3 linked regions of the Xenopus tropicalis genome follow. The protein of the gene in region 1 interacts with the protein of each later gene in a pairwise test. Links are inferred from orthologs where the notes say so. Each region holds a gene or a part of one and is shown on either strand. Other genes may lie near its edges.

The links. The genes of interacting proteins can lie anywhere in the genome.
Region 2: the proteins of sdcbp (region 1) and klhl2 interact in binary tests that used the Homo sapiens proteins (3 or more experiments, as listed by UniProt). The link is inferred for Xenopus tropicalis from reciprocal best matches to the Homo sapiens genes SDCBP and KLHL2.
Region 3: the proteins of sdcbp (region 1) and hoxa1 interact in binary tests that used the Homo sapiens proteins (3 or more experiments, as listed by UniProt). The two-hybrid records come from large-scale screens. The link is inferred for Xenopus tropicalis from reciprocal best matches to the Homo sapiens genes SDCBP and HOXA1.

The regions. Positions count from the first base shown.
Region 1 is NC_030682.2:116,370,548-116,374,302, reverse strand, and holds the start of sdcbp (syntenin-1), read right to left. Parts: upstream 2,516-3,755; 5' UTR 2,413-2,515; intron 1-2,412. UniProt on the Homo sapiens protein: Multifunctional adapter protein involved in diverse array of functions including trafficking of transmembrane proteins, neuro and immunomodulation, exosome biogenesis, and tumorigenesis.
Region 2 is NC_030677.2:51,361,925-51,365,679, forward strand, and holds the start of klhl2 (kelch-like protein 2), read right to left. Parts: upstream 2,647-3,755; 5' UTR 2,344-2,646; coding exon 2,270-2,343; intron 1-2,269. UniProt on the Homo sapiens protein: Substrate-specific adapter of a BCR (BTB-CUL3-RBX1) E3 ubiquitin ligase complex that mediates the ubiquitination of target proteins, such as NPTXR, WNK1, WNK3 and WNK4, leading most often to their proteasomal degradation.
Region 3 is NC_030682.2:42,135,333-42,138,902, forward strand, and holds hoxa1 (homeobox protein Hox-A1), read right to left. Parts: upstream 2,708-3,570; 5' UTR 2,666-2,707; coding exon 2,050-2,665; intron 1,725-2,049; coding exon 1,369-1,724; 3' UTR 563-1,368; downstream 1-562. UniProt on the Homo sapiens protein: Sequence-specific transcription factor. Regulates multiple developmental processes including brainstem, inner and outer ear, abducens nerve and cardiovascular development and morphogenesis as well as cognition and behavior.

The DNA.
Region 1 (3,755 bases):
TTTTCAAAATTTAAAGGAGAAGGAAAGGCTAGTAAAGAGTTAATCTCAAGCTGCAGGCATACCTTCAGTTGTCTCAATAATGCCCTTAAGTCTCCCCACATTTCTCCTGTTCAGATGATCAGAAGCCAAACAGGAAGAAAAAACCCTAAGCTGTGTAAAGAAAGTTCCCATAATGCCTCACTCCTGCACAGACACCGAGACCACTGAACATGCTCAGTTAGTAAGACTATGAGTCAGCTTCCTGCTGATTGGCTCAGATCCACATTCCTAAGGGGGGTTGTGAGTTCTTAACATTCTTGAGGGAGGGGGGAGAAGGAGAGAGCAGAGAGCTGAAAGCTGCGTGTCTCTGGCACAGGAATTACAGACACAACTAATCTTTTTTCAGAGAAGTCAGTGCAGTGTTTCTGTGAGTACTTATGGCTGTATTTACATAGACCTTTCTGATAAAGCTTACTTAGTTTTTACTTCTCCTTTAAGACTGTCCCCGTAGATAAAGAGCAGTGACTGGGGGGTGAACCTGAAGGCCAAGGTGGGATTTAGGGAAAATGCCTAAATCTTCTCCTAGATCAGTGCTGTGCAACATTTTCTTGGAAAAGTATGGCCACGACCATAATGTGACTAAATGACTAGCGTGTCCCTATAAGATGACGCCTGGGACAGCTAAACTAAGCTGTGTCCAACACAGCTGCTGTATGGTAAATGTCCTGTGTCTACAACAGAGATAGATTCAAGTTCTGGTGGCTCATAAAATAATAATAATAAAAACAGAGTAAGTAAATTTAGAGTTGTTAATGGCTAGATTTAATTATATGCGTCACCTGTAATTAGCACTGACCAGTTGATTATATGTGCTGATTATGAGAGACACAAGTAAATATAAATGTCGATTTACATTTTCGCCGGTGGGATGGCATTTCGGGGAGATTAGTCGCCCGAGACACAGGAGATTTGTTGCGGGCGACTAATCTCCCTGTGTGCCAGAGCCCTTAGAATCCGAACCAAACCACTGAAAAAAGCTACAGATGCAGAATGTGGCCTTCAGATGGACATATACATACACAAACCTGCATTCACAGATATATAGTGCCACATAATGTTTCCCCTACACACACCCCCAACCAAATGATCACGTGACCAGAAGCATGCACCCACAATACTGATCCTGACTCACATTAAATAAAGTGTGCTAACCAACGACGTTCAGCAGGCAGGAAACCCAGCCTGCAAATTACCAGTTTGTAAATTCCACTGATGTAGGTGCTTATTAATAGAAATAGTACTTTTGGCATGGCCACATTCATGTAATTCTTTAGGCTGCCACCTTACACGGTCAACGGTAAAAATGTCACAGAAAAAAGTCACTTTAACTTGTGATCTTCCTCCATTAGAGGTGTCTGTAGCACCTTCCCTAAACTCATCTACACAACTGTGCCCAAGGTCTCTCACACTTCCTCCTGTCTCTCACCTTATTTAAAGACGATGTTAGTGAAACCAAAGGCCTAAAACACATTTTTTTAACCCTACATTAATGTCTATACCAGATAATCTGGTGTTTAAGAATGCCGTTCGGTCACATGACATGGCTTAGTCCTCCCAAATCCCTTCTGGGTATTGGGGACTCAAAATAGGCAAATGGCTCAGCGGAAACAAGATTTTAAAGGAATCCAAATCACCTCACTTGACCTCTGGCCAATGCCATGGCACCTATTGCTCTATGGATGGTCCCACCATTAGAAATAGCCACACAGGAGAGCGCTGGGCAAGCGTATGTAAGAAATAGAATGGCAAAGTTAGTGAATAAAGAGGCCAAAGTGAGTGAGACAGAAAAGGTGGATTTGTATTACTTAGTCATATCAACCAACTACCCTCCTGTGTTTCTCAAAAAATGTCTATATCTTCTATTCCCCCTTTATGGCAGCTTTTAAGACCCTCAAATGAACATGGGGCCCCAATAAATACGCCCTTTATGCCCCAACTGGAGCTGGTCCCCTAATGGGGCGTAATCACTGGCATAACCAGACATCATTGGGCCCACAGGAAAATTGATATTGGGGACCCCCTAAAATTAAATAAGAATAAGCCCTTCACAAACATTCAGTGAAAGTGTTTATGAGCGGCCCACCCGGCCTCAGGAGTCGCACCCCCCCCCCCCCCCCCCCCTTCCTTAATAGTTCCACCCACGGCCCGTACTACCGCCCAATGAGCTGCCGGGGGGCTCCGGCTCCAGTCACACCTGGGGGACACTGAATGGGCACACCTGCCTGGGAAGCACAACAGCGATGGGGGGGGGGGGGAGAACAAAACTGAGTTGTATGGACCTAAGGGAGGATAATAACCACCCTCTGCCTTGCTGCTGGTGGGACAGCCCAAAATAATGTTTCTGTGAAGAGAAGCTGTAAGGGGGACACTTACCTGCCGGCAGGAGAATAACTCGAAGTGGAAGCCCTTCCCGTTAGTTGCTAACTAGTCCTCCCCACAGCTGCCTTCTCCCGACCCGTCTCTTCACAGCACTGACGTCACGGCACGGAGATGGCGCTGACGGAAGACAAAGGCAGTCGCACACTCGGGCAGAGCAGGGGAGAGCACAGGGAGGAGGGGTGGGCGGGGCTAAGGCGGGAGCAGGAAGGAGGGGTGGGCGGGGTTCAAGGCGGGTGACGTCATTTTCCGAAAAGTCGGCCCCGTGACTGTTGCCAAGGGTAACGGGAAGTTGAAGACTCCGGGGTGGGGTGTTGCTATTTTAATATTCCCATTTCCTCCATTCTTGTTTTCATGAGTTAAACACAGAGAACACAGTCATTTGTTAGGAGCTATCCCCTACCTAGCCGGGAAAAAGTGCGACCCCGCCCCCCCAAGATTGTAAAGGGAAATTTATTGTGCCGGGCCCGGCCCCTTTTTCTTCTGGGTTTTTATTGATATGTAATTTGTATGTTTTATACCATTCTGCTATACAGCACTGCAGAGTGTGTTGGCTCTTTGTAAATGTTTATAGTAAAGGGGGAATGAATGTCCATCACTAGGGTTGCAGGCTGGCTAGTAAAAAATATATAATTAATAGGGAAAACAAAAAAATATAGAAAAGCTGGTGTTTTCCCAGAAAAAGTGGGAGCCCTACCCCTCACACGCATTCTAATAATAACAGGACTGACACAGGGCTGATGTGCCTCCCACACTAACCAACATGCAGTGCAGCTTCTCTCTGTCCCAGCTCCTATACCTAGCCCCTATATACAAGCCTGGGGCCCATAACAAATTTACTGGCAACATACTTGTCTGTAAATTTATGATAACTATTCCATCCACCCCAGGCCTGCCTCCCATCAGCCCTTGCAGCTTCCAAAGAGACTAGCTCTACTTACAAAATGGCCTTCCAGTTCAGCCTGACTACCCTCTTGCGCCATAACCCTTTCCCTTTATGTCACATCCCACTCCTTTGTGCCCACCCTGCTCTCTCATAGCTCCGCTCCTGCCATTAAAATAACTCTTCAAAGGTGGCAAAGCTATCATGGATAAGGGTTGCTACCTTTTTCTGTGGCTAGTACTAGCATTTGGGTTGGTGGGCGGGAAGTGACATTTGAGGGTGTTGCAAGGGTCAGGGAAATGGGCAGACTGGGCAGGGGAAAGGTGCATGGAGCCAGTAAAGGTGGTCATACACATGCAGATTGTAGATGCCGATATCGGTCCCTTGGAAATCGGCCAGATATTGATCGGGCAGGTTAAAAAATTCAGTTGGATCAGGGACCGCATCGGCTCGTTGA
Region 2 (3,755 bases), on another chromosome or scaffold:
AATCTCCCCATGTACCACCTCCATGGTTAGTTGCCCCGCAACAAATCTTTAGTGGCACACATTTTTGCGGGCGACTAATCTCCCCGCAATGCCATCCCACCAATCTCCCTGCAATGCCATCCCACCGGCAAGAATGGAAATCGCCGGTGAGATGGCATACGTGCCACTATGATTTCTCAAAGTTGCACGACTTTTGAGGCAACTTCGGGAAATCGTAGCGACGCGTATGCCATCCCACCGGCAATTTCCATTCTTACCGGTGGGGTGGCATTGCAGGGAGATTAGTTGCCAGCGATAATGTGAGCCACTCCCCTTAGCAGCCATGACAAGTAGCTGCTACTAAGTAGCTCTGTGTGTCTTCATCCTAAGGGTGAAGACACAAGGAACTACTAGTAGCAGCTACTAAAATAGATAGTGCTGATCATATACTGATAATTGCCTCTACATGTGTTTTAGCATTGGCAATTCTCAGTATTGTCTATGGCAGAGTATATTCTGGAGTTTAGTAGCATTGAAAAAGTAGCTCCTACTAGTAGTAGTAGTAGTGTCTTTACCCTAGGGTTGCCCAATCGGACATATTAATTAAGGAAATTAAGTGTTTTCATGCTAATACATCATACCATTTGCAGTCTAATATTCAATAAGAAACAGCTTTCAGATCACCGCAACAACTTTAAAAAATTTAAAATGTAGTTATCCATTCAGCATCTACCACAATCGGTAACTCATACTTTAGTACCTTGCACCCAGAGAAAATAAACTATTTATCCCTCAAGCTCCACTCTTTAACCTGATTTATGGGTGATCTAACATATGAGATGGTACCAAATACTAAAGGGTAACCAAATCGTGGCTCTTGGGTATCACCCACATGGCAAATTGCACTGTATCCTCTATTGATAAACAAATAAGGCTTCTATTAAAGGAACAGTAACACCAAAAAATGAAAGTGTATAAAAGTAACTAAAATATAATGTGCTGCTGCCCTGCACTGGTAAAAGTTGTGTGTTTACTTCAGAAAGTCTACTATAATTTATATAAATAAGCTGCTATGTAGCCATGGAGGCAGCCATTCAAAGGAGAAAAGGCACAGGCACATAGCAGATAACAGATAAAACACTATTGTATTCTACAGAACTTATCTGTTATCTGCTTTGTAACCTGTGCCTTTTCTCCTTTTTTCCAGCTTGAATGGCTGCCCCCATGGCTACACAGCAGCTTATTATATAAATTATAGTAGTGTTACTGTAGCAAACACACCAGTTTTACCAGTGCAGGGCAACAGTGCATTATATTTTAATTTCTTTAAAGCTCTTTCATTTTTTGGTGTTACTGTTCCTTTAACATGTTCTTTGCCTGTGCCCTTATAGGATCAGTGAGATCACTTATGCTTAAAGGAACAGTAACACCAAAAAATCAAAGTGTATAAAAGGAACTACAGTATAATGTACTGTTGCCCTGCACTGGTGCATTTGCTTTAGAAACATTACTATAGTTTATATAAACAAAGCTGCTGTGTAGCCATGGGGGCAGCCATTTAAAAGAGAAAAGGCACAGGTTACATAGCAGATAACAGATAAGTTCTGTACAATACAATGGTGTTTTATCTGTTATCTGATATGTAACCTGTGCCTTTTCTCCTTTTTCCAGCTTGAATGGCTGCCCCCATGGCTACACAGCAGCTTATTTATATAAACTATAGAAGTGTTTCTGAAGCAAATTTTACCAGTGCAGGGCAACAGTGCATTGTATTATTATTACTTAAAAACATTTTTATTTTTTGGTATTACTGTTCCTTTAATAAACTGTAGTGTGGCCTACATCCCATAGGAAAACCAGAATCATTTACAGCTGTCACTGGGGTTCTTGCAAGGTCAATAGCTGCTCTCAGGCTTTATAATGTATGCAGGCCCAGCCAGGACAGAAAAGCCCTGCTTAGGTATATACAACCTGTACTGGGGCAAACAGGTGATCTTTAGCAAGTGACTTTAGTACATATGAAGTTGTAGATAGCTAAGCATCCCTGTACCAAGAAACCTGTGACCCTATCAAGCCCCCATAGGTGCCACAGTAAAGAAATGCCAAAGTGCAGTGCCACCCTCGCTGGCAGCCCCATATCCATTCCCCCATATATGCGCAGAAGGCGCAGCTGGTGCGGTAAATGCGCCTAGTTCTGCGCAGTATCTGGGCAGACTGGGGGAGCCGCAGTAGTGAGGCAGGCAAGGCTGCAGGAGAGCAATACTGCTGCTAGCACACATGCTTCTCTTACACTGTTGTGACAGGCGACGATGTCTCCATGCTGTTGGCTGGGGATGCGCTACTGCGGGGCGCTGTTAGCACCATTCCACGGCCAGTGAAGCGGGGAGCCCGCAGCAACAGAGCACAGCAACCCCGGTTCCCTTATCAATCCATGGTCATCCGAGGACTCCCGACAGCGCTACCAATCCGGAAAGCGAAGCCTATTGTGTCGGTTTTATACAGCTTCCCTTTCCAGCTCTTTGGTTTCACTTGTCCTTAATGTAGCGGCGCGGCTCTTGGGTACTCGCTTAATCCAGCAGAGGGGGAAACTACTCAATCCCAACCCTTCCTTTGCCGCTCCTCCACTCTGTATGAACTACTGGTTACCTTATACTACAGGCTTATCAACATCCTGAGCCTGTGCTCCGTCAGCCAATTAGGGTGGTGCTATAAAAAACAGGTGTCTCCCTCTGCTGGTGGAAGACTCCACACATGTATTCGCTACAGATCGTGCAGATCCCTCAGATTTCAGGCTCTTCAGCGGTCAAGTTGGCTTTGGGATACTGAGCGATTCGCAAGCGCTCCTCACACATTTTTAAGACACGCCACATTCTCAGTAGCGTAACTATAAATGACTAGGTCCCGCAGAAAAAATACACTCTGGGAACTTAACATGAATTGTTAAGTTGTATTTGTATTTGTTAAGTTGTAAAAGATGTATTAAATCTGTGTTATCAGTTAATGTGGGGCTGCACTTATTGCATTTCAATTCAACTGAAATCAGGGCAGGCTTTCTTGCTGGATTTTCTAAATGTGTTGATGAATTTACAAGAAGTATGGTAACCCATGCCCCTGGCTCCTGGGGACCTCAGCAGTGGTAGGGTCTGTTTCCTCAGTACTTATGCTCCTGCCCTAAGGAAGCCAATCGACATGTATGTATGTATGTATGTATGTATGTATATTTTTATTTATAAAGCGCTACTTATGTACGCAGTGCTGTACAGTAGAATACATTAATACAAACGGGGTTAATAAGATAATAGATAAATACAAAGTATAACAATAAATACAAATAAATACAAGATACAGTTACAGTTGCAATAAGTTAAGAGTCAAAGACACAAGAGGATGGAGATCCCTGCCCCGTAGAGCTTACAATCTATAAAATGTTATGCACTGTGTGGAGAGTTACACATTTTGACGGTGTAGCAAACATTTTTGCAGTTCAATGCCCTCTTTTAATTCCCATGCCAGTTTCAGCAGAGATGACAACCATGTTTGAAACCAGACTTAATTTACTTTACAAATGTTCCCAGAAAGAAAGGTCACAGAGGTTTGTGACTCCTTTGTGTACAAAGTACAGTGGCCCCAACAATGTATCAGTGGACCCAGCATTTCATGATGCAGTGGCCTAGCCATATACAGTGTTGGACTGGCATGCCATGGCCCACCAGAAACCTTAGGGAAGTGGCACAAGGGTCGCACTGTGACAAATCTCCGTTGTTAAGTGAGACTAA
Region 3 (3,570 bases), about 74 Mb from region 1:
CAAATTCTGCAATTTACTAATTCGTTCCAGCGTCACATCGCAATGCACTAACAAGTACAGTAATAATTTAATAAGTACTTTACGACAGGGGATTAGATAGATTTCAGAATAATGTTCTTATTATTGAGGGGGTGGGATGAGAAACTGAAAATATATCCCTCGAGCCTCCCAAAGATGTGAAGCTTTGTGTTTATAGGGGAGGAGGTGAGGAAAGACTGGTTGAAGAAGCGTCTGGCATTTTTGTCAGGCACCAGTGTTTACACATGTCAGTAGTGAGTTTGGGGTGAAAAGTTCAGCTGAGCTTGACCCAAGGTGTTTCTACAGTTGTTAGACAGGAGATAGTGGAGAACCCATAAAAATGGCGCAAAACGAATAAAAACGAAACGTTGGCGCAAAGAGTTAAATTCGCTCTGCCGGGAGACGCAATTTTTGCGTTTGTTGTGATTATGAATTACAACTTTTTTGCCCTGGGACCCTCATCTACAAGACCTCCTGGTTTTGATGGAAATTCTTTAACCTTTTACATGCTGCCCAATAAAATGCACACTAGTTTAGTCAGAGGTAGCATACAAATGTTTTATTGACAAATTCCAACTGATAAAACTCAGTTTACATTCGGTGTCATGCAAGGGTTCGCGATGGAATCACAAATTATACACACATTTGGTCTTACAAGACATTCACTTAAAGGCGATTTAGAAGCGTTTCTCTTGGATCAGAGAACGAGTGGTTTTGTTTGGATAAATACCCTGGATACTGGACGATCTAGCACGATTTCCTGACAAACAAAACACACAATATTCACCTAAAATCATGACTGTAAACACCTAGTAAATGTGAGAGATTACTGAGGTATGCGGTCAGCAAACACTGCTGTCTTTTCCTGTGCTAGAAAACTTTGAGATTCTTCCAACCACTCCACCATCTGATAATTATTAGAATTTCTACAAAAACACTTGAAAGATAAATCTCTGGAACAATATATGTACACTCTTTTCACATACAGACACCATAGAACTTTAAATTAAATAGAAGTCTTTTAACTTGTGTAAACTTTTTCTCTATTAGTAGTGCATCAGTCCTTGAGGATCTGCAACCAGTGATTTCCCAGTAAAAAGTCCCAGCAGGAATGTCCCTCATATGGATTGTCCATAGCAGCTCATAGCAAGAGACAGTTAGTGTGACACATGCCAAAACAGGTTTTAGTTAACTTGGGTATTTTAGCTCAAAACGAAAATGACTTTTCAAACTTGTGCAAAAATATAATCTTAATGGTACCAGCTGAAATTCTGGCATAAACAATAGACAACTAAAATCACTGCTAAGGCTTTGGTTGATCAATCGAGCACAGGCAATGCCTTCAGCCTTCTAACCGGAAGTACTGAGATGATCTGAAGTAGAGGAGGCAGGAGATGGAGCACAGGGTGAAGAATTGGACTTTTCTGACAGCTCCTCTGACTTTTCATCGCTTCCTGTACTGGCTGATGGGGAGATGGGGAGAAGTCCTTCTTTTTCCCTTTTTTTCTGTTTCATCCTCCTGTTCTGGAACCAGATTTTTACTTGGGTCTCATTGAGCTGTAGAGCAGCAGCAATTTCTACCCTGCGGGCCCTGGTCAAGTACTTGTTGAAATGAAATTCTTTCTCTAGTTCTGTCAGCTGTTTGGTGGTGAAGTTGGTCCTGGCTGTGTTGGGCTGGCCGGCAAAGCCATATTCCCCAGCTTTACCTGAAATAAAAAAAGTCAGGGTTATAATCCATATGGAATGTGAGAAATGTAGCAGCCAACAACCCCAGTGTTATGGGGGTGCCTTTTCTACCGTTACTGACTGTATTATACAGTCACAAACTGTTACATTCCATTTGTACCCCCACCCACTAACTTATAGGGCAACATCAACATAAAGAATAATAGATCATGATCATGATGATAGATAGATAGATAGATAGATAGATAGATAGATAGATAGATAGATAGATGATAGATAAAGATTTACTTGATAAAACAAGGGCGCCTTAATAGAGTAAGTGGGTGTAGAAAGGGTAGACATTACCTGTTTTGGGTGGGTTTCTCTTTACTTTCATCCAGTCAAAGGTCTGTGCAGGGCCCGGGGATGTTTCGCTGGAAGGAGACCGGCAAACTTCTCTCTGGCTGATATGTAGGCTGGATACATTGTTATTGTAATTGGCCACAGAAATGTTCTGGTCAGGTCCGTAGGAATGGTGGATATAGTGAGCGGATCCTTCGATGTAAGACTGGTGTTGGTGATGCTGGACCACAGACGAAGCGATGTTGCCGGAGTAGACAGATTGGGGGAACCCTGCGCTCACATCTGCCTCTTGATTGATGGGGAAATGAGAGTAGCCGGGGCTGAAGTTCTGCATGCCATAGTTGGAGCCACAGCTGGTATGAGTATAAGACATCCCCAGGTTGTTGTGGTGCTGAAAGGCACCGGCTTGGTGGTGGTGGTGATGGGGGTGAGAACTTATCTGCACCCCTCGTCCGACCACAAAACGATCATCGCTGTTGCAGTTATTAGCACTGACTGCGCACGACTGGAAAGTTGTAATTCCATGGTCGGGGTGGAAGGATCTGGAGGAGCAGGTCCCGAGGTCGCCGCTCATTAAGCCCGGGTACTCTAGGAAGGAGCTCATCCTCGCATAGTCCATCTATCACTAGGTGACTGTGACACAGAGCCTGGCGTGGCCGTGCCAACTTTCTCACTTCCTCCATAGGTCCAGCACAAAATCATATGAATGTACAGTGAGGGCAGGTCACGTGGAGAGGCCAGCCAATGGCAGCAGCGACAGATAAAGTTTGCCTACACTAACTGGTGATGGATCGGCCCTACACTTGCATTTAAATTCCAGGCGCTGCTCTATCCAGGTGACGCACACGGCTGGGAGTACAGTGCACTGAGAGAGCAGCGGCCAAGTCGCACAGTCCTCTCTACCCGGGAACCGCCACAGTGCAGATGTCAGAGCCGGGGGCACCCGAAGAACCCCCTAACCCGGTAAGGAGCAAATAGTGATTGGTCAGGGGGATTTGGGGATACAACTGTGTGTCAGTGGGTGTCTAAAAATACACAGGTATGGGTATTAGTGAGAGACACTGTAGTGTGTAGTGGGTGTGAGTCTAAGCATTTCTGTTTTAGATAGATGATAGATGATAGATAGATAGATAGATAGATAGATAGATAGATGATATATAGATAGATAGATAGATAGATAGATAGATAGATAGATAGATAGATAGATAGATGATAGATAGATAGATATAGATAGATAGATAGATAGATAGATAGATAGATAGATAGATAGACAGTGTATGTAAGACAATATAGGACAATTGCAGTGTACACGGAATAGGAACAAATATGCAGATACCTGTAGTTCAGCTTTGTGTGTGTCCATGCATTCCTGTTTTGGATAAGTGTATCTTGTAGATAGAGAGGCAGACAGGCAGACACTAGATAGAGATAGATAATTACAGATAGGTAGATAGATGATGATAGATAGATAGATAGTACACAATATCGGACAATTGCACTGTACACAAAAATGAACAAACATGC